Linked DNA regions of Drosophila melanogaster. The protein of the gene in region 4 interacts with the protein of the main gene of each other region in a pairwise test. Each region holds a gene or a part of one and is shown on either strand. Other genes may lie near its edges.

What was found.
Region 1: the proteins of CG32036 (region 4) and CG18180 interact in a two-hybrid assay, tested with the Drosophila melanogaster proteins (one large-scale study listed by BioGRID).
Region 2: the proteins of CG32036 (region 4) and BomS6 interact in a two-hybrid assay, tested with the Drosophila melanogaster proteins (one large-scale study listed by BioGRID).
Region 3: the proteins of CG32036 (region 4) and CG31626 interact in a two-hybrid assay, tested with the Drosophila melanogaster proteins (one large-scale study listed by BioGRID).

What each region holds. Positions count from the first base shown.
Region 1 is NT_037436.4:9,636,794-9,644,173, forward strand, and holds CG18180 (uncharacterized protein), read left to right. Parts: upstream 1-4,219; 5' UTR 4,220-4,238; coding exon 4,239-5,033; 3' UTR 5,034-5,120; downstream 5,121-7,380. Other genes in the region: fry (furry), read right to left, coding at 1-1,040, 5,214-5,549, 5,615-5,720, 5,793-5,964, 6,030-6,164, 6,235-6,333, 6,415-6,548, 6,635-6,754; CG8329 (uncharacterized protein), read left to right, coding at 1,334-2,113; CG18179 (uncharacterized protein), read left to right, coding at 2,496-3,302.
Region 2 is NT_033778.4:18,386,903-18,393,631, reverse strand, and holds BomS6 (bomanin short 6), read left to right. Parts: upstream 1-3,002; 5' UTR 3,003-3,038; coding exon 3,039-3,090; intron 3,091-3,169; coding exon 3,170-3,240; 3' UTR 3,241-3,279; downstream 3,280-6,729. Other genes in the region: BomS5 (bomanin short 5), read right to left, coding at 3,455-3,525, 3,592-3,643; BomT2 (bomanin tailed 2), read right to left, coding at 4,236-4,402, 4,469-4,532; BomS3 (bomanin short 3), read right to left, coding at 5,257-5,324, 5,396-5,447.
Region 3 is NT_033779.5:21,229,375-21,240,422, reverse strand, and holds CG31626 (uncharacterized protein), read left to right. Parts: upstream 1-3,689; 5' UTR 3,690-3,779; intron 3,780-6,387; exon of another isoform or gene 6,388-6,520; 5' UTR 6,521-6,785; coding exon 6,786-6,788; exon of another isoform or gene 6,789-6,923; coding exon 6,924-7,778; 3' UTR 7,779-7,928; downstream 7,929-11,048. Other genes in the region: CG8677 (uncharacterized protein), read right to left, coding at 9,315-9,814, 10,229-10,332, 10,386-11,048.
Region 4 is NT_037436.4:9,487,550-9,495,536, reverse strand, and holds CG32036 (uncharacterized protein), read left to right. Parts: upstream 1-6,303; 5' UTR 6,304-6,402; coding exon 6,403-6,477; intron 6,478-6,892; coding exon 6,893-7,230; intron 7,231-7,290; coding exon 7,291-7,399; 3' UTR 7,400-7,487; downstream 7,488-7,987. Other genes in the region: CG32037 (uncharacterized protein), read left to right, coding at 3,738-3,839, 3,911-4,063, 4,722-4,971, 5,030-5,214, 5,306-5,374; pall (pallbearer), read left to right, coding at 7,833-7,916, 7,985-7,987.

The DNA.
Region 1 (7,380 bases), 150 kb from region 4:
TGCTCTTGAATATATCCTTCATCACATCCAGGGGTCGGAAATCCGAATCCAAACTATCCACTGCAGCCTCTAGAGTTAGAAGCAACTCCGTAACATATCCCTGCATGTCCTCACCCTGCTCCGCCACGGTTTCCACCAGTCTGGAGAGAATATCCGATAGCATTCTCGAATTGATGGGCACATTCAACGCCCGGAAGATCTGCAGACATCGACCGGCGTAATGACGTGATGAGCAGGATAAACCCAACTGGAGGGCAGTCTGCGCCCAGCGCTCGGCGATGCGAGCTTGGGGATAACTATCTGCAAACACCTTGACCATGTGCTTGAGGAAGCAGCTTAATTGCTCGGCAGATTTTACTGCCCACACCTTGGCCGTAATATCCTCATAGTTCCATAGTGGCTGACACGTGTCCTGTGCGAGGAACTTCAGCAGGCTCTTGATCACATGGGCAATGGGCATACTGGGACCCGGTTGTGGAGGAGCATGCTCATCGGGATGGATCAGCGGTACCTCCGAATTCTCCGAGTTATTCGGATTTATTTGCAGTGCAGCTGGAGTAGCAGTCAAACCTGGGGGCGTCGTAGTCTGTCCATTCTGCGAACCCGTCTGCTGCTGACTCTGCGGCGTTTGTGATAAATTCTGGTGATGCGCTGCTATGATCGTGGAGCTGGAAAGATTGTGCTGCAGGGCATAGGCTGCCGCCTGGGGACTTACGTGCAGCAGATAGCTGTCGAATTGCTGATGGAGCTCCGTAAAGTTATTGTCGATCACGGGCAGCGCTGGCACCGTGAGTCCCAGATCCAGTTTACTCGTTTCACTGTTCAAAAGGATGCGGGCCACCGTCAGGTGATCATTGTGCTCCGCCAGCACGATCAGCAGATTGACGCACAGCTGTTTGCAATGCTCCCGCACAATGATGCGCGTGTGGTCCAGTCCCAGGAAGAGGATGTGCAGCATCAGGGGCAAGTGAAGGGTCCAGTCGATGCCCGGAATGCCGTCCACTACAATGTCGGTGAGCAGCATAACGGCCACATTGCATCTGCAAGTGTTATATGTATATAGTATGACAACATTAAATGGAGGAATCAGAAAAACTTCGCAGCGTTAAGTAAATTTAGGCAATATGGGTTTAAAAATAAAAATGTATTTCTTTGTGAAAATGTATTACCATTGACAAAGTATATCTGAGCTAATACCCACACTCATTAAGTGTCGAAAGCACTGATAACCCACGTTGGACTGGAGACTAATTACCCCCAGCCGTAAATAACACATGCAACCATTTCTTCTATAAAAAGCAAAAACCATTGCGATATAGATTTAATTTTAAGCATGTCTAAAAAGCTGGTATTGTTGCTATTGTTTGTTGCCACTGTCTGTGCCCACAGGAATCGCAATCGTACGGCTCATCATGGTGGTGGTCCCAAGGACATCATTGTAAATGGCTATCCAGCCTACGAAGGCAAGGCACCATATGCTGTGGGCCTGCGAATGAACAATGGAGCCGTGGGCGGAGGTTCCGTAATTGGAAACAATTGGGTCCTGACCGCTGCCCATTGCCTGACCACCGATTCCGTGACCATACACTACGGCTCGAATCGTGCCTGGAACGGTCAGCTTCAGCATACGGTGAACAAGAATAACTTCTTTCGCCATCCAGGATATCCCAATAGCGCTGGTCACGACATCGGACTCATTCGCACCCCGTACGTCAGCTTCACCAATCTGATCAACAAAGTTTCGCTGCCCAAGTTCAGCCAAAAAGGTGAGCGTTTCGAGAACTGGTGGTGCGTGGCCTGCGGCTGGGGAGGAATGGCCAATGGAGGATTGGCCGACTGGCTGCAATGCATGGACGTGCAAGTCATTAGCAACGGAGAATGCGCCAGGTCATACGGATCGGTGGCCAGCACTGATATGTGCACCCGGGCCACCGATGGCAAGTCCGTGTGCGGTGGCGACTCTGGCGGAGCACTGGTCACTCACGACAATCCCATTCAAGTGGGCGTTATCACCTTTGCATCCATCGGCTGCAAGTCTGGACCATCGGGCTACACCCGTGTGTCCGATCACTTGGACTGGATCCGAGAGAAGTCGGGAATTGCCTATTACTAACAAGGAGACTCGATCAATGATGAATCTAAATCAAATCATTGTCTATCCAGATATTCTGATATTTTTGTTCCACTTTAAATGAACCTATGTAAATATATATATATCCACATTGAGCAGAAAATGGGGTTTACTTGATACTATATTCAAACTGTAAATTGAATTTACTTTAGTAGTGTCTAAATTAATGATTTATTTATGGTTATCAAGTAGAAAAGTTCTTGAGTTGATTAAAATTAAACTTATATTGCGTTGCGTGTGGCTATGAGTATCCGATGAGATACGGTTAACACAAAGACAATGAACAAATCCGTAATCGATAAGGCTACCAGGTCGTATATAAAAACGCGTTGTTCTGGGCTGAATACTAAGTTTCCTCCGAGCCATGAAGCTGTTCCTACTTACACTCTCCGTGGCCCTAGCCGTGGTCGCCGCCTCCCCAGGCTTCAACCGCACCAGCCTTCTGCCCCAGGTGACCATTTCCGAGGGTGCCGAGGGCCGCATCGTCAACGGTTACCCAGCGCCCGAGGGAAAGGCTCCCTACATTGTGGGACTGTTGATCCGCACCGATGGAAGCAACAGTGCCGCGGTTGGAGCTGGAACCATCATCGCCAGCGACTGGATTCTGACCGCCGCTCACTGTCTGACCACCGACTACGTGGAGATCCACTATGGATCCAACTGGGGCTGGAACGGAGCTTTCAGGCAATCTGTCCGCCGTGACAACTTTATCAGCCATCCAAACTGGCCCGCTGAGGGCGGTCGTGACATCGGTCTGATCCGCACTCCCTCCGTGGGCTTCACCGACTTGATCAACAAGGTCGCCCTGCCAAGCTTCAGCGAGGAGAGCGACCGCTTCGTGGACACATGGTGCGTTGCCTGCGGATGGGGCGGCATGGACAATGGCAACCTGGCCGACTGGCTGCAGTGCATGGACGTCCAGATCATCAGCAACAGCGAGTGCGAGCAGTCCTACGGCACCGTGGCCAGCACTGACATGTGCACGCGCCGCACCGATGGCAAATCCTCTTGCGGAGGCGACTCTGGTGGTCCACTCGTTACCCATGACAACGCTCGGCTAGTGGGAGTGATTACCTTTGGCTCGGTGGACTGCCACAGCGGTCCTTCCGGCTACACCCGCGTCACCGACTACTTGGGATGGATCCGTGACAACACCGGCATCTCCTACTAAACTCTTAATAAATCCTTTGTATTTTTTTAATAAAATCTTTATATGAAATATAACTGTATTCATTAAAATGTGGTGATGAATGTGCCACGTATACGGTTAACCAAATTCCGTACAAGATTGCACAAACGATATGCACATACAACATACCCCTTAGGCGCGCCTCACGAAAAAGGTGTCCCCAACAAGGTGCCCCAAACCAGGTGCTTCTAACAAATAAATCCCTACACGGTTCCGCGCTGTAAAGGAGTATTTAAATATGTTTATTTTTAGCATCCCTATATTTGTTGTCAACAAAAGGCTTCTTTCACACGCCATAAAGTACGCCCTTATAATGAAGTACTTTTCTAATAAAATAAATTAAGTAAAATATAAGTAGTTGGCAATAAGACGTGTGATTATTGCATTCAAGTAAGATAACCATATGAAGTCAAAGATAACAGAGCTAGCAAAACCCCCATTTTGTGAAATCTGACGAATTTACTATCAAAATAAGGGAAATATACGACTTATTTTGTTATTTTTTGGCTGGCATCTTGGCTAGCGAAAGTCTACTATATTAGTTACGTGTCACGACAATTGAGTTCTTTCGCGGCCTAATTTATAGATCAGCTCATGCTCTTATCTACTCTTACCTGCTTCACAAGGGGTACAATAGATTTACGAGGCACTTCGGCTCCCAGTATATTTTGCATTTCCTACTTGTACCGATAGCTACGATGTGAAGTGGTCCAATCCCGCCTGAGATGCTAATTCCATAACAAATGATTAGAAACGGACACTACGAACTCAAGTGCACGGCATGAATGAATCCTCTAAGTATGGGTGAGATACGATTTCATTGTTGATTGATAATAGGAAGCCTTATCAATAAATATTGTCTCAAAAATCGTATAAAAGCAGGTTGCCTCGACTAGAAGAATAAGTTTCTTCACAGCCATGAAACTGTTCCTGCTAACTCTCTCCGCGGCTTTGGCCCTGGTGGCCGCCTCCCCGACCGGTCTGAACCGCACCACCCTCCTGTCCCAGGGAGCCGAGGGTCGCATTGTCAACGGCTACCCAGCGCCCGAGGGCAAGGCTCCCTACATTGTGGGCCTGTTCATCCGTACCGATGGAAGCAACAGTGGTGCCGTTGGTGCTGGTACCATCATTGCCAACGACTGGATCCTGACTGCCGCCCATTGCTTGACCGGAGACTACGTGGAGATCCACTACGGATCCAACTGGGGCTGGAACGGTGCCTACAGGCAGACCGTCCGTCGCGACAACTTCATTAGCCACCCCGACTGGCCTTCCCAGGGCGGCCGAGACATTGGTCTGATCCGCACTCCCCATGTCGACTTCAACGGACTGATCAACAAGATCCCTCTGCCAAGCATGAACGAGCAGAACGACCGCTACCAGGACACCTGGTGCGTCGCTTGCGGATGGGGTGGTATGGACAACGGAAACCTGGCCGACTGGCTGCAGTGCGTCGATGTCCAGATCATCAGCAACAGCGAGTGCGAGCAGGCCTACGGCTCGGTTGCCAGTACCGACATGTGCACCCGTCACGCCGACGGAAAGTCCGTGTGCGGAGGTGACTCCGGTGGCCCCCTGGTTACACACGACAATGCTCGTCTCGTCGGTGTGATCACCTTTGCCTCCGTCAGCTGCCACGACGGACCCTCTGGCTACACCCGCGTCTCGGACTACCTAGAATGGATCCGCGACCAGACTGGCATCTCCTACTAATTGACTTAGGAACAGTAATGACAATGTTGAGGATTCTTCAGCAAAGTCTTTGCTTTTCTAAATAAATTCATTCGAAAACTGCAAACCAAATTTCTTGACTATCTATTGAAAAGTATTAACTTGCGTACTGAATATTAAGGAAATGTATTTAAATGTACAAAAAATATCGAAACAACTCACCTGTGGAACCCACTGATCGGTAAACTAACATCGGGTAGAAACTCAGTGAGTGGAGCAAAGTATCCTCCATATTCTGGCATTGGCAGTGGATGTGGATGGCCGTTTGGCGCAGCATCCGACGTTCCGCGCAGCTCTACATTTTCCTCTTGCCGCAACTCCGGATCGTTAATCAGTATATCCTCTGGTCGAGGAAGTATGGAAGGTCCCGATGCGGCGCGAATCTTATCGGCGCCTCGAGGTGGACGATTTCCACTTGAGCCGGGAGTAACTGCAGCGGCGGCAGCAGCTGCGGCTGCTTGTGTGTAGGCTCTAATGCCGCTGTCCGATTTGCAGGTTCTGCGGGAATTGAATATTGAATATATTAATACCATATAAAATTTTAATCAATCAAATGGACTTACCCTATTTTCATGGGATCCTCTCCGCTGTGCCGCTTGGTGTGAATTGTGCCCTTTTCAACAGCCAGGTCCTGAATCCTGGAGTCATTAATGCCACCTGCAGCTTGGCCTGTCACAAAATGATCAATTTAAATTCAACACTTAAGTATTAGATTGCCGAGAGGCCAATTTTAAGACCTACCATCAGCACTGTGACTGGATGCCTTTCGCATGCTGGTCAATCGGTAGAAAGGTGGCGTCTCCGTGCGCTCAATCAGACAGTTGAGCGTCTCCACCGTCTGCAGCTCGGCCATGAGCTCATCCAACAACCGATCCGGACAACTCCGCACCAGATAAAGTGCCACTCGCTTGGCCTGATTAAAGAAATTTTCGAAAACATCAAAGATACTCCTGGTTACCGTTGAAGTACGGCACTTACATAGGGCAGCAGTTCAGTGGGTGCCATGCCACTCATGATTACCAAGTAGCGCAGGATAACCTTCAGATTGTTCGGCCAGAACTGGCAAAGTGTGCCCCACAGCTCCTCGATGTCGCGTGGATGGGCGTCGGAGAACTGCAGTGGAAACAATTAAAGATTAAAGTCCATCCGCTGTGACGTGAAGATAAGCAGTATATCGTCATACCTTGGCTGTGATGTAGAAGAGATTGTTCAGAATCATTTCCGTTGCCTCCGTTGAACCGGTGCCCTCGCGTCGTCCTCGCGTCCCTGAATCCGGAAAATACTGCCAAAGGATAGAAGGGAGCAAAGGTTTGAATGCGTCTCCGGTTTTCAAAGAGGATGAGCCATTTCATGCTTCGCTTACCATAATGTAGGAAAGGGGCGTGGCGGGCGGCACACTTGTGGCCACCAGCTCCATGTTTTGCAGCCAGGGAAGGAGACACTGTAGCAGCAGGGCACGCACATCCTCTCGAGCACTTTGGAATCGATGGGTGATTTCTGTAATATATATCCCAATATAAAATAAATATTGATAAATTTAGATTTTTTCTTCTGTTTCAAGTTAACAGAGATGAAATACTCACCAGAAAATATGGACATGGTAAGTTCCGGTCGTAGCTGCGCCAGTTGTTTCGACAGGAAGCGCTGGGATCGACAGTAAGCGCTGCTCAGCAAGACGTCCAAGGTGCCCACCTTGTCATCCTCTGAAAATGGGAAAGAAAACGACGAGTTAATTCAGTAGTAGATCTCGTAAAATTTTACGACATTTTAAAGCCCAACCAGGAAGCAATGCCCCAGGCTGCGTGGCCATTTCAGGGCTCCTCACTGGAGGACGGCCAAAAGGCAACTAAGTATAACCTCCGGTAATGCTGTTGGCCATTTTCCAATGCCACTGAAAAGAGCTTTTCCGGCAACTGGAAAAGCCGCGACGGCGGCGGCTTGTTATTGTTTTCATTACCGCCCAGTGACAATGTGACCACAAGAATTGCGCGAGAATTGGCTGTTTAGCGGCCCATTGTCTACCACCTAGTGGCGCCGTTCTCCTCCTGCGAATCCTGCTGGGCTAATCCTTCGACGGCACCAACTACCACTTGTTGCCACTGCTGCTGCTGCTGCTGTTCCTGCCAACCCTGACCTTGTCACCTGTTGATTTTATGAATGAATCCGCGCCGGCGCAGTGGTCGAGCTAAAAAGCTTTCACTTGGCGCCTTCCAAGAGTCAATCGAAAGCAGTTTAAAAGGCTGCCACGTCCATTGTCTCGGCTTAGTTGCGCGCTCATTGTCCTGCTGGTTGGACGAACCGGCAAGGAATCAACAGCCCAATTGGCCGC
Region 2 (6,729 bases), on a different chromosome or scaffold from region 4:
CGAAAGAAGCGCTGATAAGACGGTGCTTTTATTGGTAAAAATTATAGATTATTATATGAAAAATTTAATGTAAATGAACCTAATTTCATTGCATACTTTTGAGTTGTGCAACCTAATTAAATATTTCTAGCTAAAAAGAATTCAATAAATTTCAAAGATACATAGAACATAACCCTTTTAAACCACAGATATGCATCTGTACAATTATTTGGAATGAAAGATTTCGAATTTCATTTGGACAGAGCTACTTAACCACCCTCCATTATCCATCCACACATTTGCCACAAACTGGCAAACAAACATCCACCAAACACCCACTCACTCACACATTAGTATCTCTCAAAGTAAAAAGTGGGTGGTCGGAATGAGTGGTTTGGGTTATCAAAGTGTCACTTCCACAACTTCAATGCCAATCCGAAGACCCTGCACTCAGCACCAATTTATCGATTCCCACAGGACAATAATGTTTGTTCATGCTCGTAACGCTTAAGCACATTAAAGCCCTCGACTTCAACGACGGAATGATGAGTTGTCGTCACTCCCCAGGAGCGGGCCACAATAACTGGGGGTCACCACCACCACGACCACCACTCATACATGGATGGCCATGTCCATGTCCATGTCCAAGTCCATGTCCTTCATCCCCCAGTTGATTAGCAATTTTGCTCACGTGACGGCAGGGGCTAAATGTGTTGACTGCCATGTCATTTGATGGAAATGGAAGGGTCAACTGTCAGGGGATGGGATCAGTGGTAAGTTGCTGCTTTTGCTTTGAAAATTTTTTTTTTTTTGGGAAAACCAGGTTCAATTGCTTGTTTGTCAGTCCCTTGGATAATTTACTTTGTGACAACGAGATATGGCTTCATTCGTTTTGAACATAACAAAATATCACTTAAGTATCATAAAGGGTTATTTGAAATCAAATTAAAATCGAGAAATTGTATCGAATTTGTAGTTAAGTAAACAACAGCACTGTGTTTTCTAATTAAACTATTGGTTGTGGCTTTCACCTGGGCAAACATGGAGCGCACTGACTGAGGGTAAGCGAAATGAATTTCAAGTTTATGCAAAAGGCCACAGTTGGTTGCATCATAAAGCCAAATGGTGAGAGCCATAAAACTAACCGCAGCACAAAAAAAAAGGACAATAAACGAAGCCAACGGTGGGGAAAAGCCAACAGGAATCAACAGAATGTAACCACAAGCACGGACGCTCAGGCAATCAACTAACAAAATGTACACATGTTCGGAAGCACTGCTTTCTACTTTCTAGTTGTTACTTTCTAACGCCCAGCCCAGCCCATTGGAAGTGCCACGCCCAATGAAATATGTTAGTTTTTTTATTATTATTATAAAGAAGTGCAGGCGTACTTGCTTATAAAGGAAGCTGCTAATGGGCTTGGAACCCATACAACTTATACCTCTTGGTCTGTATTAACCATGTCCTAAGTAGATCACTGTATCATTTAAATATAAAAGCACAGAAGATGTTTATGTATGTAAATAGTAAGTAAATAAAGAGACCATTTAATGTTTTATTTATTTTAAATTATGTTATTTCCTATCCAAGCCTGTCTTACTTTCTATGCTAGCAAAGTACGACCTCCCTTCCATGCTTCCCTTTCCTTCCATTGAATATTCCAACGGCTTTTCAATTTCTGTTCCATTTGAATTTATGGAGCATGAACATGAGCACTTGAGACCTGCGACTTGCCGCACTTAAACACCACTCCAAGGCCTTTGGCTGAAACATTTGGCCGGCTTTAAACGTGCCACAAAGGCAAAACTGGGCGCTGGCTTTAATTCCTGAATGAACCAACTCGACTCGATGATTAACATTTTTTTTTTCTTTTTTCGAGGAACATGTGGCAGCTGCCGCTGCCCGCAGCGCGTAATTAAATTGTTAACGTGCGCACGTGTCGGTTGGCCGTCTGTAGAGGCGCACATTTTCACATATTACGTATACGTACATGTGTACGCTCATTTGGCTCGAGTTCATTTATCCGTAATGCCATCTACGTTGACAAATGTGTGTGGAACAACAACAACGACAACAACAACAGCGTTTAGCGCATGCGGCACTAATCCTGGGTGAGTGGATGCTGGTTGACTGCGCTAAACCCTTTCTCCGCCCCATTTGCACTCACCTTTCTTCTGCTGCAAAACCACCCACCATCCCCCCCCCCACACACACACCCATCGAAAACCCCGACAATCGCCTTAAGCCCCACGAAACAGCCAAAAAACTCATTTTGCATGGAACTCGACTGGTGGTTTTTAATGCTTCATTGGCTTAATTGCCAGCCATGTGCAAAAACAAGTACATTGTGAAAAAAAACAATGTTTATTGCAATGAAAAGCAATAAATATTTTCTTTGAAAAAAAAACAGAAAACGGTCTAATTATTTATTAACTAACTAGTAAGCAGTGTAAGTTAGAATATGATATATAAAAAAGAAATAATGGTATATACCTTTGATAAAAACACAATAACAATTTTTCGTTTTTGAAATTTAAGGTTTTTCTTTTAGTGCACAAACAAAGTTACTTATAAACTGAATCAAACATACCCACCTACAGCAACTTTTTCAAAGTTAATTCGACCACAAACACGTTCATTTACCTTTGGCGACCACATAGATACACACATAGAAAACGAAAATTTAAGAAGTTAAATTCTTGCTAGTAAACTGCAGTGTCATTCGTTACGTTTTCAGTTGTTTCATTCTTTGTTTTTATATGCATTAAATAAGATATTTCAAAAGTGCTAGAATCGAATAAGTTAGATTTGAAATTTCCCTGGAATTAATAACTGCTTTGTGTGTTTGCCAATCACAGACAAAGATCTCTTTAAAGCTACTAAATCGCTGGGGATAGGCTGTTCAAATCAAGTTATGACGCATTTTTATATACTCCAGGGGTCATATTTTAATTGAAAAAGTGCGCAATTTGCTAATCAAACCGATTTGCGCGGCTATAAAAGAGACCTGTTTGAATCGATAGGCAATTTAGTCGCTGAATCGTCAAATCACAAACAATATGAAGCTGCTCTCGATTACTTTTCTCTTCGGACTTTTGGCTTTGGCTAGTGGTAAGTGCCAATGATGTGCTGTATAAATAATAAAAACCTATTTCTAATTGAAATCTTTTTTTTATTTATTTATTTCTAGCCAATCCCCTGAGTCCTGGCAATGTGATTATAAACGGCGACTGCAAAGTTTGCAATATACGCGGCGATTAGAATGTGGAAATCAGAATATGAAATAAACTAAAGTCACTGAAACACCAAAATGTTGTTTATTATTATAATTATTAACTTTTGCAGTTAGAAATGAAGTTCGAACTATTATAGTTTGCGTACTAATAAAATAAAAAAGACCATCACTTTATGCACAATCTGTATTTTTCATAAGTTTTATTGTAGTTACTAAACATCAAAGTTTTATAACTCCAATTTAGCCTCCGCGAACATTACAATGACGGCAATCTCCATTGATAATGACATTACCCGGATTTAACGGAGAAGCTATAGTAATAGTAGAAAAATAATTAGGATACTGGTTAAGGATGTATGAATCTTATAGATACTCACCCACTGCCATGGCGAGCAGACCGCATAGAAAGACCAAGGACATCCACTTCATATTGTTGGCAACGGTTGAAATGAAACTGATAAAAATTCACTTCATTGGTTTTCTTTTATAGGCACCTTTATGATGAAATTTAAATATCAGGTTTTTCCCGGATAGTACGTATCTCAGCTGTTGTAATCACACAAAAGTTGTGCCCAGTCTGGAAATGCCCTACAAAAAAAAATGTTGATAAGGCGATGTACATTCAGAACAATGGCAAAACAAAATAAAGCGATAGCGATCAATCAATCGAATATAAATAATAATAGATTATTGTAGATTTGTCTCAAATAGGAAATCTAATTCCAAAATCAATATGAATAAATATAAAAATTAAAGCTAAATTATTTAAAGCTTCCTAGCGGTTTAAACAAAGCTGGGAATTAAATTAAATTTACAGATTTTAATCTAATATGCAATTGCTATAATCTAAATGCAATTTAAATACCCATAAAGTTGGGATTTGTTAAATAGCAGTTTTAATATGTGACTAAATCTATACGTGATAAGGGTTGTATTTAAGTTCGCAATTTGTCACAAGCTTAAGGTTTTTTTTTGAGAAATAAAAGATATTATTTTATTAACTTATTGATTACATAGTAATTTAACTGAATATATGATATATAATTCCAAAGAAGATGGCTCCAGATGTGAGTGTGTAAGACATGGATCCAGCTGATTTATGGTCTGGAGGAATTATAATTCCCGGATCATTATCAGGCTTATTGCAGTCAATGCATTTCCCATTGATATACACTTGTCCCGGCGTAGCTGCAATAAGGAAATGATTAGCTAAAAATATCATATATATATTTTATTATTTCATTAAATAATTACCATTAACAGCTGCCAGCAGGCAGAAAAGCAGCATCAAAGTTCCGGCGACTTGAAGAGCTTTCATGTTTTTCCTTGGGGATTTCGAATAAATCTGACTGCCAAAGTGCGAGTGCTCTGCTTTTTATATGCCATAGTACATATAGTATTTGCTATATTATATATATAATTGTTTATAATTATTTTGCGGGATTTTACATAGTTATTTTAAAGAAATGTCTGGAAAGGAGTGCCTATTAATTAGTTGTTTAATTATTGTTATTTATTAAACAAAAAATCGGTAAGCTGTATCGATTTTATTGCTAAACCATACAGTAGCAAGGCTGATCTATTTGGATAATAATGTAATTAATCAAATCATAATATGATAATATAAAATTTGTATTAGTCTTTAAAACATTTATTTGAATTAAATACGGTATTCTCCATCGCCTAAGATCATTTTCAATAATTTGTTTCTCATTCCAGATCTCTAAACTAACAAATAACAAATATTAAGCTGACTTTAAGCGTCTTTTAATGACAAGTGATTGTTTCATAGTTTGTTTTCCTAGAACTTTGTAATACATTTTGCAATTGGAATACATTTAAGTGGTTTGCCTGAACCTCAACTGCCTTTCAGTTGTTATCTATAGAAATCAATAATATTTCCCCATTACAAATAATATGTTGTTTTGTTTGGAATATATTTAATATGGGCACTTGATTCTAGGAATTTCTATTACATTTTCGACTTAAAAATATGTGTGGCTGTGTGAACTTCAACTGGCATCCTTCATTCTCCGCTGCCCTTAGGCCCTCACATTGCAGACGCGGCAATCGCCATTGATGATGACATTGCCAGGATTCAGGGGAGTGGCTGTGTTGGAAATATAATTAAAATCATAATTAAATAACTTATTTAGTTTGTAAATAGTTGGCATTACTCACCGTTGGCCAGAGCCAGCAGACCCAAAACGAAGGCGAGTGATAGGAATTTCATGTTGTTGGTTTTTGTGGTTGAATTCTGAGCTTGACTCCCGCGTATTAGCCGTTGACAACTGATGCTAAGTGTTGAGAACAACACGCTTTATATAGTCATAGAGCAGCCAAGTGTACCGATCTGTCTTATCAACCAACTGGCAGCGACACCGGGAAAAGTCTGGCCGAGATTGGGATTCTCCCAAGCTCAAGCCAAAGCCAACACCTCCATCGAGAAATTCCCGAGTGCAGCGGTGCGACGTTCTCAATGAAATTGAGCGTAAACAAGTGCAGACTGATAGCCCCGAGCTGCGCGATTGGAAGAGGGAAATCCAAGCTGGTCCAGAACGCGATTCTATTCACGTGCAAGGTGGCCAGATTGCAAACCTGATTCCATTTGACTTGGCGGCGCCCCATGCGATTCGTTTTTCCCAGTATTGCGAACCCGTTTTAATGCGTTCAATTCCGCCGAATCAATAAACTGTCATATTAGCACACAGTTTATTAGCAAGTTTTATGCAAAAAAGGTTAGCCAAGGTACTTGGAAAGATTATGGTTTTGGATTGGCAGGGAGTCATAGTTTTTTTTTGTAAGAAAGTCAATATGGCTATGTAAATAATTTAAAATGAAATTCAGGCATAAAGCTCAACTTTATTTAAGTATTTTGAAAAACAATTATTTCTATAATTAAATTCTTACTTCTTTCAATTACTAAATACCAAAATTATTTAAAATTAGAATGACACCTAATGGTAATTTTTTCGAATTTTAAATACAGTTTCATTTATTTTTATTAAATAACAAGTTTTCTTATCTATATTCTGAAATAATTATATAGTTTTCATCAAAAATAAAATTATAACATTATTTTTCGTCATTTAAGGCTATAGGAATTTAGAGTATAGTATATACAAATAAATTAAGAAAAGGTTAATATGCGTGCAACAGTGCGTATGAGTAATGTCCATCATAAGAGGCGTGCCTTTTGGAGCCTTTAGAAAGTTTTTTCAATAGCAAGTATTTAAAGATCATATTTAATATGTATATATACATATTTGTATATATTTGGCTTTAATTTGCATTGAAATTGTGTTAATCAAATGCTTTAGTGAACATTTCTTGTTTAGCTACTTGTTTATATTAGCTGCAAGGTATTAAAAATACGAAAATAGTTTTGTTTTTTCACCATTTTATTTGTAATTGGCGATGTATTTTTTACTACTAGTTTTCATTTTAGTACAAGAGTGAGAGTATAAATATGGTGCTTTGGATTTGAGGTAAGTTTTGGCCCATCTTCGAAATTA
Region 3 (11,048 bases), on a different chromosome or scaffold from region 4:
GTAAACCTGCTGCCATGTTGTATCTTTCAGTTGTATTTTTTACCATAGACAATGGAACAAAGCAAACCCGTTCTCGCTACTTTCGCAGTTTGCCTGCTAGAATAGGAGAAGAATTGTGGTGAGGAGGTCAATGCTGCAATTGTTAACTGCTAATTAGCAGCCAGAGTCAAAGCCAGGGAGAGAAACAGCATGTATCAACTTATGTATTGCAAGAGTGGGTGGTGCACTGCCGAGGGAGAGGCACGGATGGCCGAAGTGGGTATCAAGGCGGTTGGAACACCCGAAGGCATATTCGAAAACCGGTTAACAGCTGGCAGCCAACTGACGAACGAGAAATACATCACCGAATGGGCAAATCTCAAAGACTTTACAAGTTACAGATATTAAGGCGTATGGGTCGGGTTAATATAAATATCTGCATGCACAAAAAGAGTTACCAGAAGCAAAATTTTTTTTTGCAGAATTGGAGACCAGGCTTACCACTCAAGCCCGATAATTTATTGCCTTCTTCCACTCATTGCGTTTGTAAGCATGGGCAAATCCCTACATCAGTTGCCAGTTCTTGTAACCGCGTCTCGACGGCAGAATCGACCGCCTTTAGCCAGAGTTATGACCCCGAAAGCTGTAAATTAACCTTTGAGGCCGCGCACATTTAAAAGGAGTTCAAGAACATAAACCAGCGTCCGCAATGTATAATCCGGAGCCAATCAACTTCCAAACTCGCGGTCAACCTTCGGACAGACTGAATCCCAGCTTACGAAATGAGAAGAGTTGAACGGTAAGAAGGCACGGTAAGAACGGCTGATAGACACAAAAACCGCAAGCGACGCAGTCAAAATAATAATGAGCCCGACATTTAAAATGGTTTATGAGACAGCCCCTTCTGCGGCTCCTCGAAAGCACAAGACTTGGCCCAGCCGCAGCCTCATCAGCAGCGTTGTCAGCCGCAGAATTGGCGATTCTTCGATTTTTCTGGGTCAAGCACCACGCGAAAGCAGAAAGAGCTAAAGACTTGGCCCAAGAAATGTGTGGTAGAGGTAGAGTTCAAAACGTGCCTTGGCCGTACTATTCAGACATGCAGTGCCTTCCCACCCTCTTATTCTCCCTGATCGAGACCGTCTCTGTTTCGTTGTCGAAACAATTTCCGGCGGCTGCACCGAGAAAAATATAACGTGTAACGATGATCGAACAATAAAGACAAGCGAATCTATACAGAGTCAATTCGGAAAGCTTTAAGTTTTCTAGAACCGAACATAACACATGTTTAATTAAAGCCTTTATGGCGTCCTTTTTGCGCTTTCAGAGCTCGGTAGAGTTGAATGTCAATGTAATGAGCCAGCCAAGTTCGGGTCATAAAGCCTCTGCCACATGAAAGTAGTTCAAGTACTCAACGGCGCCGTTACATTTCACTGCTTATGAATTGGGAGTCGCCCGGCCAGACAGTCCGCCAGACGACACTGACTTCCCGATGTGTTAATAATTTTGTTTTGATTTCAGGGATTCGAAAAGCCTACTTTGACTCTGTGGAAGGGGATAAGAAAATATAGCGCTTGAATTGGGCCTCTTGGATCTTTAAATTTAAAGGACAAAGGAATATTAAATCACTTAAAAAATGGTAATTTTTACAGCCCCTATATTGTTGTCCTTAAATACAAATGAAATGAAAGCATATGGTTTATACGATTCGCCCAGTTTTCACGATGTTCCTTTTGAAATCACATCAAGTTATGGGATGGACATCATGGACATCAATTATGGGAACATTTTGTTTTTAAGGAAATGAGATCATCTTACCATTTTAAAATACCTAAAAAATTATGGGAACATTTTGTTTTTAAGGAAAGGAGATTATCTTACCATTTAAAAATAACTAAAAGTATTCCAATTGTCCCTTTCTCAGTCTATCAAGATTTTAATGTATTTCCGTTGCTGTGTTGATAAGATTTGTTACCCAAAAGCCAGTTGGGATTTCACGTTTTACTCGTTTTGTTCGACTCACATTCTAGTCACATTTTCATAGAGAATTCGTTTAATTTGCGTGCACATTATGCGTATAACATTTCTTGTGCAATATGTACCCGACTGGAAGCCACTTGATGCCAATCGAGGAAATTATTGCACGACAAATATCGGATTTTTCACCTGTGAATTAATAACGGTAAATTACTCATCCAGCGTCGCGGCGGGCGCACTTGTATGGGTTAACGAGCGAGCAAGCAAGTCAACGAATTCACAATAAAATAAACAAAATGCAGACGCGAAAAATCGACGAAACTTGTTGGAGCTGAAAACGCGGAAACTGTTGCAAGCGAATCGAAACCAGAAAAACTTTTCTGCACACTCTGTCCAATCAGAACAAACACTCGAACTCTTCTCTCCCACACACACTACACCAGCACTCACACGCACAAGTTCTGCTCTTGCACTTGCCTCTTTCTACTGCTTTCTTTGAGTCTTGGGTTTTATTTTACACGACTGCGGCGCTCTTGTTGCGTTTTCCTCACCTTTCGCAGAGTTTATTGACATTTTCAGCGTTCGCTTTGTGCGCTGCTTTCTTCGTGCGCAATCTCTTTTTTCTCTCGCCAGTCTGTTCGCTCTTTCTCTCTTTCCCTTTCTTCTCTCCGCTCACAACACTTGCTTTTTTGTTTACAATGGAACGCTCGCACACACACACTGGTAAACGGGTCACTCACACGCACACAGAATAACCTTCAATTTTATCTTATTGCGCGCGCCCCAGTCACTCGTTATTCTTAAACTTTGCCGAAATTAGGATTTGCTTTGGTTCGCTGCTGCAGCTTTAAATATCAATCAATGTCTTTGCAATGCTGGTGTGGTTAGAAATCCACATTCACCTCGACGCCTCTTCCACACACCCATACACGCAGCCACGGACGACCTTTGCGGTGCGAGCGAGACGACCCGCCACAAAAAACTCCACTTCCGCTCTCTCGTTCACCCGTTGTGCTGACGGCGAAAAGGTTTTCGAATTAAGTACATACATATATTCTTATTCACTTATTCACGGATTTAACTACATATGCCACTGTAGGCGCTACCACTCTTTTTCGCTCACAGCATGAACGGTGTTTTGCGCTCGAATCCGATTCCACAACCGCTCTAGCGATCACACGACGCAACACAGTCCCGCCTGCGACGAAGTAGCAAAATGTTTGTTTTGTTAGTGGAGCTCTCGGTCTGTTAGCGAGCGTTGCCACCTTTCTGCGAGCTGTTGCTGCACACTGCCACTTTACGAACACAGATCTGATAGCGGGACAAAATACGTCAAGGCAGCGACGGTGGGTTACTAGTGAATTTGGAACGGTGGTCTTACGACGTAATGGTCTTTTATATTTTCATTATTTTTTAAATTGTCGCTCATTTACCAATAAACCTTTTTACTTTTTCCTGATAGTCCGAAGTCAGATCAAATAGGAAGTTTCACAAAAAATTTTCATCCAGAGAAAATACGCCGACGCTATTCGAGTTTTTTGTATTCGTTAACCGGGAAAGAATAGTTCGAATTCGTTCGCACTTTATCGATAGTAGATTGCTATTATGGAGCCCACTTGTAAAATAATTTAATTCCAGACTGATAAAAGCGATCAACTTTTGTTAGTGGTTTAAGTCTATGATAATACTTAGTTCAAATTGTTTCAAAGTAGTCGATAATTTATAATAACAGTTTTAGATGACCTCTAGGAAATAACTAATTACCCACATTCTTCAAGAAGTGTTTTCAATTTGTTCTATAATTAAATAACAGTTGTATTAATTATGTAAATATTGTTACTCATAATACAAATTAAACAATATAAACACACATAAATAAGAGAATTGGAATATTTTGTCTCAGATTAGATTTTCCACACGGGAAATTTAAATCACCACGTTTGGTAATATCGTATCGTTTTATCCTAAACGAAACACGCTTATTAATACATAAGCTAATTGTTTTTATACCCGTTACTCGTAGAGTAATAGGGTTTACTAGATTCGTTGAAAAGTATGTAATAGGCAGAAGGAAGCGTTTCCGGCCATATTAAGTATATATTCTTGATCAGGATAAATAGCGGAGTCGAACTGGTCATGTCCGTCTGTCCATATGAACGTCGAGATATCAGGAACTATAAAAGCTAGAAAGGTTGAGCATCGACTCGGCTTAATAAGAATATATTTTATATCTGTTAGACATTTTATCGGATGAATTGTAACAGGTATAATAAACGATTTCTTATATATCGTCAGACATGTGTGTATATTTTGAACGAAACAACTTAAATTAGTTTGTAATGTTATTTTATAAATTCCATCCTAATAAATATTACTGGATTTGCAATGAGTTCCTTAGAACATATTAGTACTCGTGTTTCACTAACCATGTCCATCAAGCTGACACTGCTATGAATGGGTATGTGTGATGGGTATCTGGTGGACAAGCTCTGATCTAAATGGTGTTGTCCATCCCAATAGCACTGACTTGTCTGTAGTCTAAACTGTGAAACACTCCTTTATTACTGAATTCTAGATAAATGTACATACATATGTATACTACGGAGTGGTTGCGAAATCAGAGGCAATCAGATATTGAAGCAAGTTCAAGTGACATACAATGGAATTGGTCGTGTATAGCCGCCTATAAAGACATTAATAGACGACCCCAAAGCTCTCATTTAAGCTTAGCTTTAGTTTTCGGTAGATACAACTTATTAGTGTCAGAGATATTGAGCTTTGGTCGGCCACTGCATTTACATTATTTATTGCGTAATATTTAAATTGATAAATTGCGCATATATGCTAATGCTAAGTCTTCAATCCATATGTTATATTGTATTTTCACGCATTTTTAGATGAAGAAAACATTCTTGACTCGGATCGACTACGATCCACATTGGCATATGTTTGCCGTGCATAATATGGGTATTCTCCATTTAAATGTCTTTGGATGTGGTTAGCTAATTGGTTAATTAAGTGAGACCGCGGGCAGAAAATATCGACGAAAATACATTTTTGTGCAAGACAAGCCAAGCCACGTTTCTCATTTCGAATCGTGGTTGCTGTGTGAATTTTTTAAAATTGGAATTATTAAAACGGATTACGCCTGTTTTATTTACCATTTGCGGCTCCTTCTTTTTCTGTAACAAAAAAATATGACACTGGTGGTTTAAAGTAGGCTAAGCAAATTCGCGATGCCTCATGAATAGGTTTCGCTTAAGTGACAGATGCTTTCAAATGCAGCATTTTTGCATTGGAAATTAAACCATATGCGAGTCTGCGATTAGTAATATATCAATAAGCAGAGCGCCGGGTGAGGGTCGATCGCAAGCGAAAAATGTTTCAAAATGTTTAAATATTTTTGGAACGTTGTCTTTGTGTACGTATTTCTAAAAGTTAGTTACGTTTAAGTATATGGGTACTTTTCTGAGCCCAGTTATCAATCAAAATGTAGGAATCATATTTTCGTAACTATAGGGGACAATAGCTATTAAACGCTTTAGAGGCTGTTTACAAAACAGTGAGGTGTCACAGTCCCGAAAAATGTTGTCTCACGATTGGGCAAAAATGCCCTTATAATGCCCAATCAGATTCAGCTTCAGCTTGGGTGGTTTCCACTCGACCCATAAGTGGGGTAAGTCCCATTTAATATTCAAAATAATAACCCCACATATGTGTGTATATACGTATATAGGTGTGTGTCCGTATTTACAAGTTTTCTGAGGCTAACGCCAAGCTGGTAATCCTTGAGCGCTTGGTCGAGCATGTAGTTTGGTCATTAGCACCGGCTAATAGTTAAACAAACTGATTTCCGCTAACTGCACCGGCGAACGCATATCAGTTGACCTTTGACATTAGCCGGCAGAGGCCCTTTAATCGCTTCGTGGCCAGCTGCCTCGCATGCAAATGAGTGTTGGCGTGTCCCGTGGCCGCTCGTCGGCGGAGTCTCGCGGCCAAGCTGCCCTATTGACATTGCCAAACCCGTCCAAATCCCCCGATATCAACGAGCGGCTGCCGGCGAACTGTCACGGTCTTAACCCCGCGCTGGGCACTAAAAAATTGCATCGAAGACTGCCCGGGCAGTTGGTCTGCTCGGGTTGGGTTTCTTGTGATAATACATTTTACTGTATTAGCATGAACAGTTTTCCAATATATCGAAAACTCCCCTTGTTTTTCTATGCATCTGGGTGTGGTTTCTTTGTTAGAGCTGTCAGTTAATTATAAAAAGTGTGCTCCCATATGAATGCTTGGTCCAAATAATTTAAAAAAAAATAACAGATCTCAACTTTTGCTTTAAGAAACTAAAATACCCTAAGCAAATAACCTTTAAGTAGAATTTAATGTAGTTTAATTAATTAACGACTTAATCATGTATTAAACAAGGCGAATATTATAGTTTTTTTTTTTTTAATTCTCCCTAAACCATATTCAAAACTTGAAAATTAACGTTTCTTAATGTTAATACGTAAGATCAAAGGGAAAAATAAAATAAATATATCTTTGTTTCGTTTTGATCGCCCAACAGCCGCCTCTGGGTTAATGATCACTGCTCCGCTCTCTTCTTAACTGTCTACCTTTTCTTCGACTAGAAGAAGCGCCAGGCCCACACCGAAGACGCGAAGACGGATATCCAGCAATAATAATGGGCCAGACCAAGTTAAGCATGGCTTTTGGTATAAAAGTGCGGGCCCATCTGCAGTTCGACATCATTCAGCTTGAGCGTCTTGCGACAAGAGCTTGCCAAAGCAAATCCAACGAACTTTAAAAGCCCGACCAACAAATCAATAACAATGGTGAGTAAACTGTCCACTGGTCACAACTTCGATCAAGAAAGCCGTTGGCCTTGCTCAACCGCTCGCCTTGGCCAACCGTCAAGATGTCGGGGATCCCGATCGCTCACTTGACCCTTAAATTTCCGCTTATTTTAGAAACTCTTCGTCTTCGCTGTGTGCGCCATCGCCTTGGCCTCCGCCGATGTTTCCCACCTTAACCTGGGCAGTGGTTATAGCTACAACAAGCCCACGCCGACCTTCAACATCCCCTCGGCTCCAGCTCCAGCTTATCTGCCACCCGTTCAGGAGGTGATATCTGCGCCGGCTCCAGCTCCTGTGTACTCTGCTCCTGCGCCTGCTCCTGTTTACTCCGCTCCAGCCCCAGCCCCAGTCTACTCCGCTCCGGCACCAGCACCTGTTTCGGAGTACCTGCCTCCTGTTCAAGACATCCCAGCTCCAGCTCCTGTTTATTCTGCTCCTGCTCCAGCTCCAGTTTACTCTGCTCCTGCCCCAGCTCCAGTTTACTCTGCTCCTGCGCCAGCTCCTGAGTACTTGCCTCCCGTCCAGGACATTCCAGCTCCGGCTCCAGCTCCCGTTTACTCCGCTCCTGCACCTGCTCCTGTTTACTCCGCTCCAGCCCCAGCTCCAGTCTACTCTGCTCCCGCACCAGCACCCGTTTCGGAGTATCTGCCTCCTGTTCAAGACATCCCTGCTCCCGCCCCAGTGTATTCTGCTCCTGCGCCAGCTCCGGTATACTCTGCTCCTGCCCCAGCTCCAGTTTACTCTGCTCCTGCGCCAGCTCCCGAGTATTTACCTCCCGTCCAGGACCTTCCCGCTCCTGCGCCCGCTCCAGTTTACTCTGCTCCTGCTCCAGCTCCAGCTCCAGTTTACTCGGCTCCTGCTCCCGCTCCAGTTTACTCTGCTCCTGCTCCAGCTCCAGTTTACTCTGCCCCAGCTCCCGTGGAGTCGGGCTACCAGTACAATGTGCCTGCCAAGCGTTTCCGCTTCTAAATGGACATCAGGTGGATTCCAAAGAGTTCCGCAGCCATTTGAGTGGTGACAGCTTGTTAAATTAACAAGTGCCGTCGCCCATTGTTGTTGAATATTTGTTGTTACGCAAAGTTCCCGTTGAGATTTTAGCTAATAAAAAAATTACAAAACAAAAAATATAAGCTCGCTGCAAAATTGAAATGGACGAACGGGTCCAGTGTTCCGCGGTTTCGCTGTCCCTTTTAAAAACGAGTATTTAAATTTAGCACCATAAAGCCTTTAGAGACGCGATCTGCCGGCTTACGTAGCGTTTACCGAGCGGTTTCAACAACGGCAGGTTATACAAAGATGACCTGAGGTGTAGGCCATAACTGCGTTGGCAAATTTTCGCAAAGAGATGTCGTTAACGCTAGCCACTCAACGAATAAATTTAGCGAATATGAGAGAAATCTGAAAAATGTGGCACAGTTTCAGTTCTACTTAAATAAATGGCTTGGGAAGAATAGTCGTTTTAAGTGGTAGCCGTTTTAGTATAAAAGTCAATCTTTTTGAGTTAAAACCATTGTATGAAGACTAGAATATCATATTTAATACTTTGTAGTCATAATGATATTTTGAAATTCCAATTTCGCTTGTTCCCTTATGCAAAATTCAAATGTTTCCCCTTATTAAAATTGATATGAGGTCCAAATTGTCCCAAATTTTAACTTCCACACCTTCACCGCTCTCTCTCACCAGGATCACTTAATTCTACAAGGACTTTCACGCAGTCTAGCTTTGCTATTTTACATTTTTTGGGCATATCAAATGGGAAAGCGCCATTGTAACCAATGCTAACCTTTGTTGGGCGCTGTTAAAAATCTATCCTCTTTTAATTAATTTCATTATAAGGCAATAGAAAACATCGAATTTCAAATACTTTCCACTAATAATAAATAGTTTTATTGTGAACATTATGTTTTCGCCCTTTTTTGATTTAGTACCATCTTCTTAACGTTATAATGGATACGCAAGTCAATCTTTTTAAGTATGCACTGCATAACTGGTTTACTTACATAATTTTGTAATTAACTCAATCTATATATTTATTGACTATATATATTTATGATCATAAGTTTATCTTATATTCGTATAATTATAATGGTATGTATAATTAATAACTTACTTTTATTGCGTTAGGGCTCAAATCATATAGAGCTAAATTAAAATACTAAAAGTAGTTGATGCTTGATTTAGCTAAACTGTAACAGCACATAAAGGGAACTAAGTTAAATACAACATAGAAAGCCGATGGGAGTGACGTTACAAAGCAATCAAACATAAAATTTCTATAAAACATTAACTGATCGCCAAAACCGAATTTAAAAGAATCTTTGGAAATCTTTTTAAAGAATTCGGATCAGTTTGGTGTGTGTATGTTTTATTATAGTTTAAACACAAAGCTTATATTGGTAAAGTATTGCCAAGATTGATTTCTAGCCCTAAAGTAAAATTGTTTTTTAACTTTACAAGCAGATCGATATATACAAATTTAAATAATGCTCCCGCCGGCGTTTGTTATGTGTCATAATCATCCTGTTGCGAGCTAAAGTAGCTTACCAACCCACTGAACTCTCCCACGACTGCTGTTCCTGTTGCGGATGACGGAGCTCTCGTGTCATGAGCTGATCCTGAGTCTTCCTCGGCTATAGGTGCCGGTGACCTAGTAGGTTCTGCCGGACCCGATACATCGGCCACTACTGCAATCGGGGACTTCCTGATGGGATACGCCTCTAGAGTAGTTAGCTTTTTGCTGGTTATCACAGAAGCCAGTGGTGGCTTGTGGCTGCTGGTTTCGCTGGTTATTGTGGGTGGCGGGGCTGCAGCGGGTGGTGGACCTGAAGACTGTGTCGGAGTTTGTTGAGGAGGAGTCTTTCCATGCGTCAAAGTGGGAACCGAGTGATTCGTTGGCGTCAGGGTGTGCGGAGCACTTACGATCACAGAACTTGTCGCTGCGTGGGCAGATGGTGTGGACAGCGGCGGGGGCGGGGGATAATAGCCATATGGGGAATATCCACCTGTAAAATATAAAGTTAAATAATCATCAAATACACATACAACATAAACCTATTAAATAATAAAATATAAAACGGTTACTTAAAATCATCTTAAAATGTATTGTTAGTAAAATCATATTTAATATAATTTTCAAATTAAATAGCATCTGATGATTACGTTGGTATTAGCTAGTTTTGTTTATTCAATTAGATTTTTCTTCGTTGATTATTATGAACAATATTTAAGAAACACCATTTTGGAAAATATGTTTATTTGTCTATAAGTAATGGGCATTCGGAAATACATAGATCCTGTTAATTCTTAAGAACTGGAGAAGCACGTGGGGCTGTGCTCTTTAAAAACATTTAATACCATTTTCTTAAGATGCTTTTAAATGAACTTTTTAAAAGAAAAACAAAATTTGATTTGCTTACGTGGTCCAGCAACGTAGTCCACAGCTCCAGGGCGCATACTTCCAGTTCCGGGAGCTCCACCAAGACGAGGGGAATAGTTTGGATTGCCATAAATGGGCGGCGCTCTATAAGAAACACGTGTGCTTAGTGGGAACTGTGGAGTACATAAGTAGCTTACCTGTAGGGATTCAAGTGGGGAGTTGCATGTCGCGCTGGTGGCGGCCCGGAACTAAAGACTCCTCCCATTGGGGGCCCAGAGGGTCCACCGTGATGCTCGGCTCCGTGAAGGTAAGCCGGCCTGGAATTGGTCGTAGTACTGGGCGTAGAAGTTGGTGGGCCAGATCCGCGAAGTGGCGGCGGTGGTCCGTAGGTGGGTCGTAGGGATGCGTGAGGCGGAGGCAATCCAGGTGGCATTTGCGGTCGCAAAAGGTGTCTAGGAGGTCCTGACGTCGAAGAAGGAGAACGAGAGCCTGGGACAGCGGGAATGGGTTGCTGGTTAGCTACTTGGCCATAGAATCGGGCCAAATCCGCACTGCTTGGATATAAACCACTGGGCGGTCCATGATTTCGTCCATGGGCCGGAGGAAGGAGCGACGGCATCCGGGTAATCACAGAGGCTTGGGAAGCAGGAGCGCTAGGGGCAGCATCCTCGTGCGGCTTAAAGAGCGGTTGGGCCTTCACCTTTTCCGAGGGGGCTGATCCCGGTGTAGTTGAAGAAGTGGCAGCCGTAACAGCGGCCGCCGTTTGTTGCTTCTGCAACTGATCCCTAAGGGGTGTAACCTTTTTTCGTCTACCCCTTGGTTTCGGATCAGAAGCTGGGTTACCCGATGCTGTCTCAACT
Region 4 (7,987 bases):
ATTTCTACAATATATGTATGTAGCACACTACCGAGCACCATTATGCCGTTTTAGCACGTTTTAGTACACTCGCGATTATATAATGTAGAGAGTAAGCTAGTTGATAGCCGTTCAGAAACACTTTTAGAACAGTTCTGAACGATTCAAGCGGCATTCAAACTGGAACTTTACTAAGTGCACTTTAATAGTTTCCTATTGATTTCCTATTAATACCATTTAGTATGGATCTGTAAGAGGCTTAGTTACGTACCATCCTCCAAAAATCCCCACCCTTTCCTCTCTGTTCTAAAATAGTATTACTCCTAAAGCAAAAAAAAAAAACCAAAACTAATGTTATCATGCCTTTCCCACTTTTACTTTGTTCCGTGGCAAATTCGCGTGATTTGCGTACATTATTTAACATTTTAGCATGTTTAGTAAGTAAGCGTAAGAATTAGGATTGTAAAGCCTATTTTGCAATCGATCAGTTCCAAATATGTTGAGCTAAATTACTCAGAGAATACATTTTTTTATACGAAATCTAGCCGAGTAATAAGTTACATTGAATTGCCCCGATATTCACTATGTGTAAACATACTTATTTTGTTGCATACATATTTTTGTATTTTAATTATAGCTATTAAAGAGAAATACTTAGCGAAACTATCAAGTAAATAAAACAAGAAACACAAGTTGAAACATTTTATTTTGCATTTAAAAGTCTGTGCAGACAACGAAGCAGATTTACTTGTAAAATGATGAAAAGTTCGAGCCGCAGAATTATCTGTCATCTGTATGTAAATATGTATATTGATATATGAACGCAACGAGTACTAAGTATATCTGCCCAGAAAAGTATTTAGAGTTGTCCATATTACATATTCAGAAGAACAAAGATTGATATGAATGTTTACTTTTTTGAAAAATGTTTAAAGTGTAAACCAAGCAAAGATATAAAATATATACACCGAAATAAAAAGATATAAGAGAATGTCAACTGAATAAATGCATTAATATTTTACTGATTTCGAAATGGGTAAAATCAATTAAGTAACTTATTGTTTAATTTTCAATTTCTTACTGACATGACCCTGAACTTCCTTTGCCATTTCTGGCCTGCGGGTTCAACGCGTGGCACTTGCTCAGATCATTTCGGAATAACCATTCGCTGAATGGCCAAAAACCTGATCGAGCAACTTCAATTACCAAGTGTGCATAGTCATTTGTTAATTGGTAACAAGTGCACAGTGGACAAGGCGTCGAATCGAATTCGTTTTGTGTTGATGTCATGTTATTTTCACCAAATTGCTCGTTCGATCCCACACACACACACACAAAAATGCCCACAAGTTCAAACATTATGGGCAATTGAACTCGACTTTTGGCCAATTAGGTAACCTCCAAGGCAAAGATGTGGACCACAAACCAGGCACGATCGCTTCGGTTCGAAGATCGAGTAGATGTCAGATCGTGGTCGTGGTATTGGCCTGTCATCTTTCTGTGACAAGATGCGAATTGGAAAGGCCTGGGAATGACTGGTTCAGAAGAGGCAACTTTTATCCTTGACATCGAATTTCGAACATTTGTGTGGCGAGCGAGCCCCTCCAGGAAGCTCCCAACTTGGCCAATTAGCGACCGCAACAATTTGGTTTTGGGCCAAACAATTGAAAAGCAGCTTCGAACGATTAGACAAATATTTTCTATGAACATGCCCGAGGTCCAAGGTTGGTGATGATTTAAAATAATCAATCTCTGCTAGGGTCTACCCAATAGCTGGATCTATCTTTTGTTGCATCTTGATTGAGTCAAGGTCTGAATTTTACAATCTACTAAACTGCAGAAGCTGACTCGTTTTTTCGCTTTTGCTGCCATGTCTATTGTAGTTTTGTAATGTAAAACATTTTTTCGGCGGCAATTGTGCAATTGGAATTACTATGGGCTTTTTGGTCTTTGTGTTTGGCATTTCAATCGATCTACAATTCGTAGACGTTCTTATCTTGTATCTTGTATCTTTGGAAGTACTTTCTCCCCGTTTTGCATTAAACATTTATGTTGGCTCTACTTTTACACGCATGTGCCATATGAAATGGCATATGCGATTGGAATTTAAAAAAAAAAATAACGAAATGCGGAAGCGTGGGAATATTGTAAATTATTAAAAAAGAAATGGAAATCGTTACTGCCTTCAAAACAACTGAGATTAAAACACATATCTGAAAACAATGATTTTGAATCATTATTTTTTTTCTTGCCTTCGCTCTATTAAATTTTATGTTGAAAATTTGATTAATGGATTTCCAAAAATGTTAATTTGAATATAACATGAACATATTGAATTTTGTATTTTTTGAAGAGCTGTTGAGTTTTAAATGTTAAGATATACAAATATATTGAAACAATTACTTCTTAGGCACGTGCCCTAGAAAATAAGTAGTACTAATTATAAAACAAATTATCCTCTGAGAAAGGCCTTTCAAGCATTCACCAAAAACCAATCCACTTTCACAATACCTTCAAGGCCTTTCGATCGCCAATAAAGCGCCTTATTTACAAAAACCGAACTCTTCTGACACGAAAAGAAAACATCAAAACCCTCTCGAGACAAATAGGCAATACAACAGCAAGTGGCTGCCAACAACAAATGAATAGAAAAAAAATTACACAAATATTTAAAATAATAACGAAAACAATCAATAAATATGAAACGTTCAGCAAAGTGTTGACTTGAGGGCGCAATCAGTTGTTTAACTGCAAATGGCCAAAAACAAAAGGCAATCCGAACCAATCCAATTCAGCCATTCACTTTCGTGGCAAGAAAAAGGTTGTAGTGCTACCATAAAAAATTGCCATGTCCAAGAAACCGGCGTAATTACGTATAACATAGATGTACGAACGGGCACCAAGGGATCTCAGCGAGACTTTCAAGTCAAGTAGCCGGGGACCCATCAACCCACTATGAATTCGGATTCGGTTTTGGATTTGGATTTGGGTTTTTATATGGTAAGGGAAGGGGGGCGGGGGTTCATAGAGATTAATTGAGGCAATTTGGCTATAACGATTTTGCTGCCACTTCCAGTTAAAACCGCAAATAAAACTAACTATGGCAAGAAGTTGGTATTATATTAAGTAGTAGTGCCAAAGTAAAAGCAATGGAAAATCATTCACAGTTTCAGAGTCTACAAATAAATACGTCTGCTCACTATGCTTTTCACGATGATAATGATAGTAGCTATGACGATCATGATCATCATGATGATGGTGGGGATGACGATGATGAACGCGTCGGCAGAAGTCGTCGGCAGAGGGCACCCGCTGGTGGAGATCGGTCTTATGCATTTGCATTCATTATGTTTGGCACCGTCGACGCGACCACAACGTAACTCCAAGATCGGAACCAAGTAATCGCGGCGTCTATAGATATATATATATATATAGACATCGATATAGTACAACCGTATAACCAGCTAACAACCATTACCAGATTGCTTTGGCAACCCAATCGTGTCACGTGATCGTGTCGCGATCGCTCATTCTGCTCGTCATTCATCTGTCGCCGCGTCTTGTGCAATTTGGCTGTCGAATGTGGAAGAATGTCTTGCATCTGGATTTGTGTACCGAGCTCTTAACGTTTGTCTGCCGAAATCTGTGATCTTAGTGTCTTTCAATCGATCCATCGAACAACTTGACCTTTTGAGTTCGCCGATCAGGAAATTGCTAAAAAATAAAAAAAAGATTCCTTAAATACAAAACAGTTGAAAATGTCTACGCCATATGTGATCTTGCTGATCGGTTTACTATATCTTTGCGTGGGCCCATTCATAATTGCCCAAGGCTCGGAGTTTGCTGAGCGCAACCACAAGGTGTGTAGGCCATGGCATCGCCACTAAACGTATACGATCATAAATAATACTGTCGAAAAACCAATTTCAAGAAACGCCAAATCTATCGGGAACAAGTATTGCCACATGCGGGTGGTAAGATACCCGACACCGCCTTTGAGACGGATCGATTGTTTTTGAATCGCCTGCAGAAGGAGGGCATCGCAGTGCCAGATGGGATAGTTCCCGAGCAGCGGAATCCGCAGGTAAGGATCAGCGGGATGCCCAGCTGGATTATAGCCCTTTTCTTGGGTTCTTTGGGCAAGGGATTAGGCCAAAGATCGGCAAATGTGGCAGTTCAAGTAAATTTGTGTTTTCGCAAAATATCCTTCAGCAGGTCCTTTTTAGAAGGGATCAGCAACCTATCAAATTAAGCGAAAATTCTTTAGCTTGTACACAAAGATTATGTTGCTCAGTGTAGTCAGGATTCCAAAATATGTTTACGGAAATAGCTTGTTTTTTTTCAAATAGATGCCAAAACCTCAATTCGGTTGTGAGGGAAATAAAAAGTTAGCAAATTAAGCACAGATCAATTAATCATTTAGTAATGCTTTTTATATATTTAATCCGTGCGTTCATTTTTCAAGTTTAAACAAATTGTTATAACAGCATAATCCGAATTTAGCATGCATTTATGTTTTAGTTGTTTTCATAGATGTTCAAAAATGTTGTGCTCTTAAAAGTAAGTAAAGTAAAAAAAACTGAATTCGAACAAGTCAAACATGCTTAGATGCCATAAAAATTAAGGTACTGAAAGTATCAACCAGCTATAGCAACTTGTATCCTAAAGTTGCCCAACCACGGACATTTACATAAAGCTTGGAGAGCCAAATAGACACTCAAAAACCGTATGTTCCCATCCAGGTGTATCAGTACTACAGCAAGCCCATGCGCACCGTCTTCCACATCGCCCTGAGCTCGGATGGGAGGTATACGCCGCGGGAGGGACGATACCACTACCGCCAGGTGCCAACGGTGGAGACCACGTACCTGTACCCGCAGGCGGTGGGCCGCCAGCACGTGGTGGTGCCACCGAAGCACGCCCTGCCCATCTACCGGCAGCTTCAGTTGCACAATCCGCTGCTCAACCAGGTCAAGTTGCAGCCAAAGAAGGGTGAGTTGTCGGAATGATTGAGGAGTGCAAGCAATGGCTGAGCTTTCGTCCAATTTAGCGCCCAATTTTCTGGAACTGGCGCCCACGGTTGGCAAGAGTCAGTCGCATCCATTGGCCGGTTCGGCCAAGGCGCAGTCTTATCAGAATGTGAATCTTCTGCATGGTCACAGTCCGGTGCTGCCCGCTTTCAAGAAAACCTCCAGGGGCAGCAAGACCTATGTGGACAGCTATGGCACAACCCATGTGAGTCGAGAGCAATCTAATCCCAGAGCGCTTTTATGTAATCATTTTTGGGTCTTATTATTACGTTTTTTTTCTCTTTTTTTTTGCTTAGCTCTTCAGCGAGTTTGACGATCTGCTGAACAAACTGGACCTGCAGCAAACGGGACGAAAGAATTATTAGTTTTAATACCCAACATGTAGTAGAATTTATGAATATGACAGCTATGAGATCTATCTCCAGTTAAGAGTTAAGTTTACAAGTGGTTCGCATCCATTATCTAACCATGTGCATATCATTTCAAAACCTTTGCCATACGCCCGCTCACCGTTTAGTGCACATCCATTCCCATTCCCATGTTTGCAAGCCATTCGTATCCAGCCCATGCACCGTGAAAAAATGTGGTCACAATTGAGGTAAAACTAATGTTAAAACCAATACACAACACATTTTCAAAACATTGAAAATATACTTCTTATTTGGTTATTAAAGCGTGAAGTGATATGCAACCGTTTTGTTTTCTATTGAATAAAATAAAATATTAAATTAAACCTTTTAGATAACTGAAGCTGTTTAGCTTTCTAAATCTTTTCAAGTTTTTTGTTGTATACTCTAATTGAATTTGAAAACTATATCAACAGGTATTTAGATTTCTTTTGCGTGCAGGCAGTTGCATCCACCACCCATCGCTTGCCAACCCACAACCCATCCACATATTGTACCATCTAAGCTTGGCCAGGTGAAATGGGAATTCATCGCTTTTAGCTAGTTAAGCGTAAACAATTTGTATCTTGCAAAATAAAACCATGCGCGTGTCCGTACATTGTTGTATGTTGCATTTCCCACATGAATGGTATACTTCACTATTTATATCATAATTATGTGGGGAGCAGGGGAGCATTAAGCTTCAAGCCGTTCGTTTACTGTGGCAATAATTGAAGCAGAGCTAAGTTAATTTGCCGATTTTGGGGAATGGAAAAGCTTGGGCGGGCAGCTTCCAATGCGAAAATCGTAATCGTTACACAAATCGGATCGGTACCCTTGAAAGCTCCATGCTCAAGTGGCTGCCGCTGGGAAAACTGCAGTTCAGTGTGATTTTCAAACCCAACTCGATCGGTCGTCTCTGCAGCTCCAAAGACTCCAAGCTACCACCAACTAGCGACAAAGTAGGCGGAAAAGATACATACATAGATACTTTTGTAACCGACATAATGATGCCAAAGCTGGGCTGTTTCTCATTTTGGCTAATGTTCGTTGTCGGAGCCGCGGTGGCCATCGAAGTTCAGGTGAGGATTGGGTATCGGAAAACGAGTGTATAATTATGCTAGGGAGTCGATTGGGAGGAGTGTGTGCCACCCCAATTGACAAAGCTCTGGGTGTCTTAGCCACGTTCACTTTTGACCCAAAAATTGTAGCATGCAATGTACTCAATGTGTACACTGATAAAAAATTTATGATTTATGATGTGAAAATATACTATTTAACAAATATTTTATTTACTTTTGAGCATAAGAAGAGTTTGATGTCTGAAAGTAAATATGATTACAGTCTCTTGAATATTTCTATCAAAGTATATCTATCCACGAGTATTGTTATAATGAGGCTGTGTCACGCGGGGATTTGGGGGTACTAAGACCAAACCGGATTGGGGCACGAGCAGTGGCATGTCTTATGCAATAGAAACATTTGATATGGTTACAGAAATTCGGATATCTATTCAATCCACCGCAACCGGAACACCCGCAGCATCACGAGAAGAAGCAAGACTTGAACAAGATACCTGGAGTTCCGGGCGTTGATTATCCGATTTACCACGAGGTGCCACACACCCACTTCAGTTGCCACAATGTGCCGGCCACTCCGGGAATGTACGCCAACGTGGAGACGGGCTGCCAGGCGTACCACGTGTGCCACGATGGACGCGAAGGTGACCAGGGCGCCAAGTTCCTATGCACCAACGGCACCATCTTCAACCAGAAGGAATTCGCCTGCGATTGGTGGTACAATGTCAAGTGTGAGGAGGCTACCCACTTTTACCAGTAAGTTGTATGGTTAATTTGTATATATTATTTTGTTTAAACTATTGGTATTTCTTACAGCTTGAATGCCGATCCCGAGCACAATCCCTACATTCCCAAAAAGAAACCTGAGCTGGAACCTTATGCAAATGATATTCATGATGCTAGCAAATTTCTGATACAAGCTTAAATCCATTTCCGTTCTCATTGTGTTGTTGTTGTTCCCAATCTTGTAAATAAAAAACATAACATTATAACAAAGAGTGGGTAGCCCCTTTTTCAATTGCATATTTGATATTTTATATGCATATTTGATATAAACTTAAATCGTACATACGTAGCTAGATTTTTCTTTTCTTTTACGCACTTTTATTTTTTGGAATTCACCTATAAAAAACTCACCAACGCTAATTTGACGCACATGTAAAATAACTGTAAGATATTTATTTATTTGGTATGTTTATTTTGGTATGTTTTCATGGTTTAGTCTGTGGTATTTTGTGGCTAAACAAGGCGTTTTCAGCATTTCCATGAGCTGACATCACAGTCTTATTAAAAACAATAGCAATATTCTCGACTATAATCGCTCCGCTCGAAACTAGTAATAAGTATAAACGAGAAATATGAATCTGTTAGACTTGCCACAAACACTAATTCAGGACATTTTGGAGTTGCTCCCCTACGACGAGGTGGCAAAAAAACGAGAGGTGAGCTAATAAATGACGTCCCAGGAGTCCCTGATCCATGACTAAAACTAAACGTTTCCAATCCCCAGGTG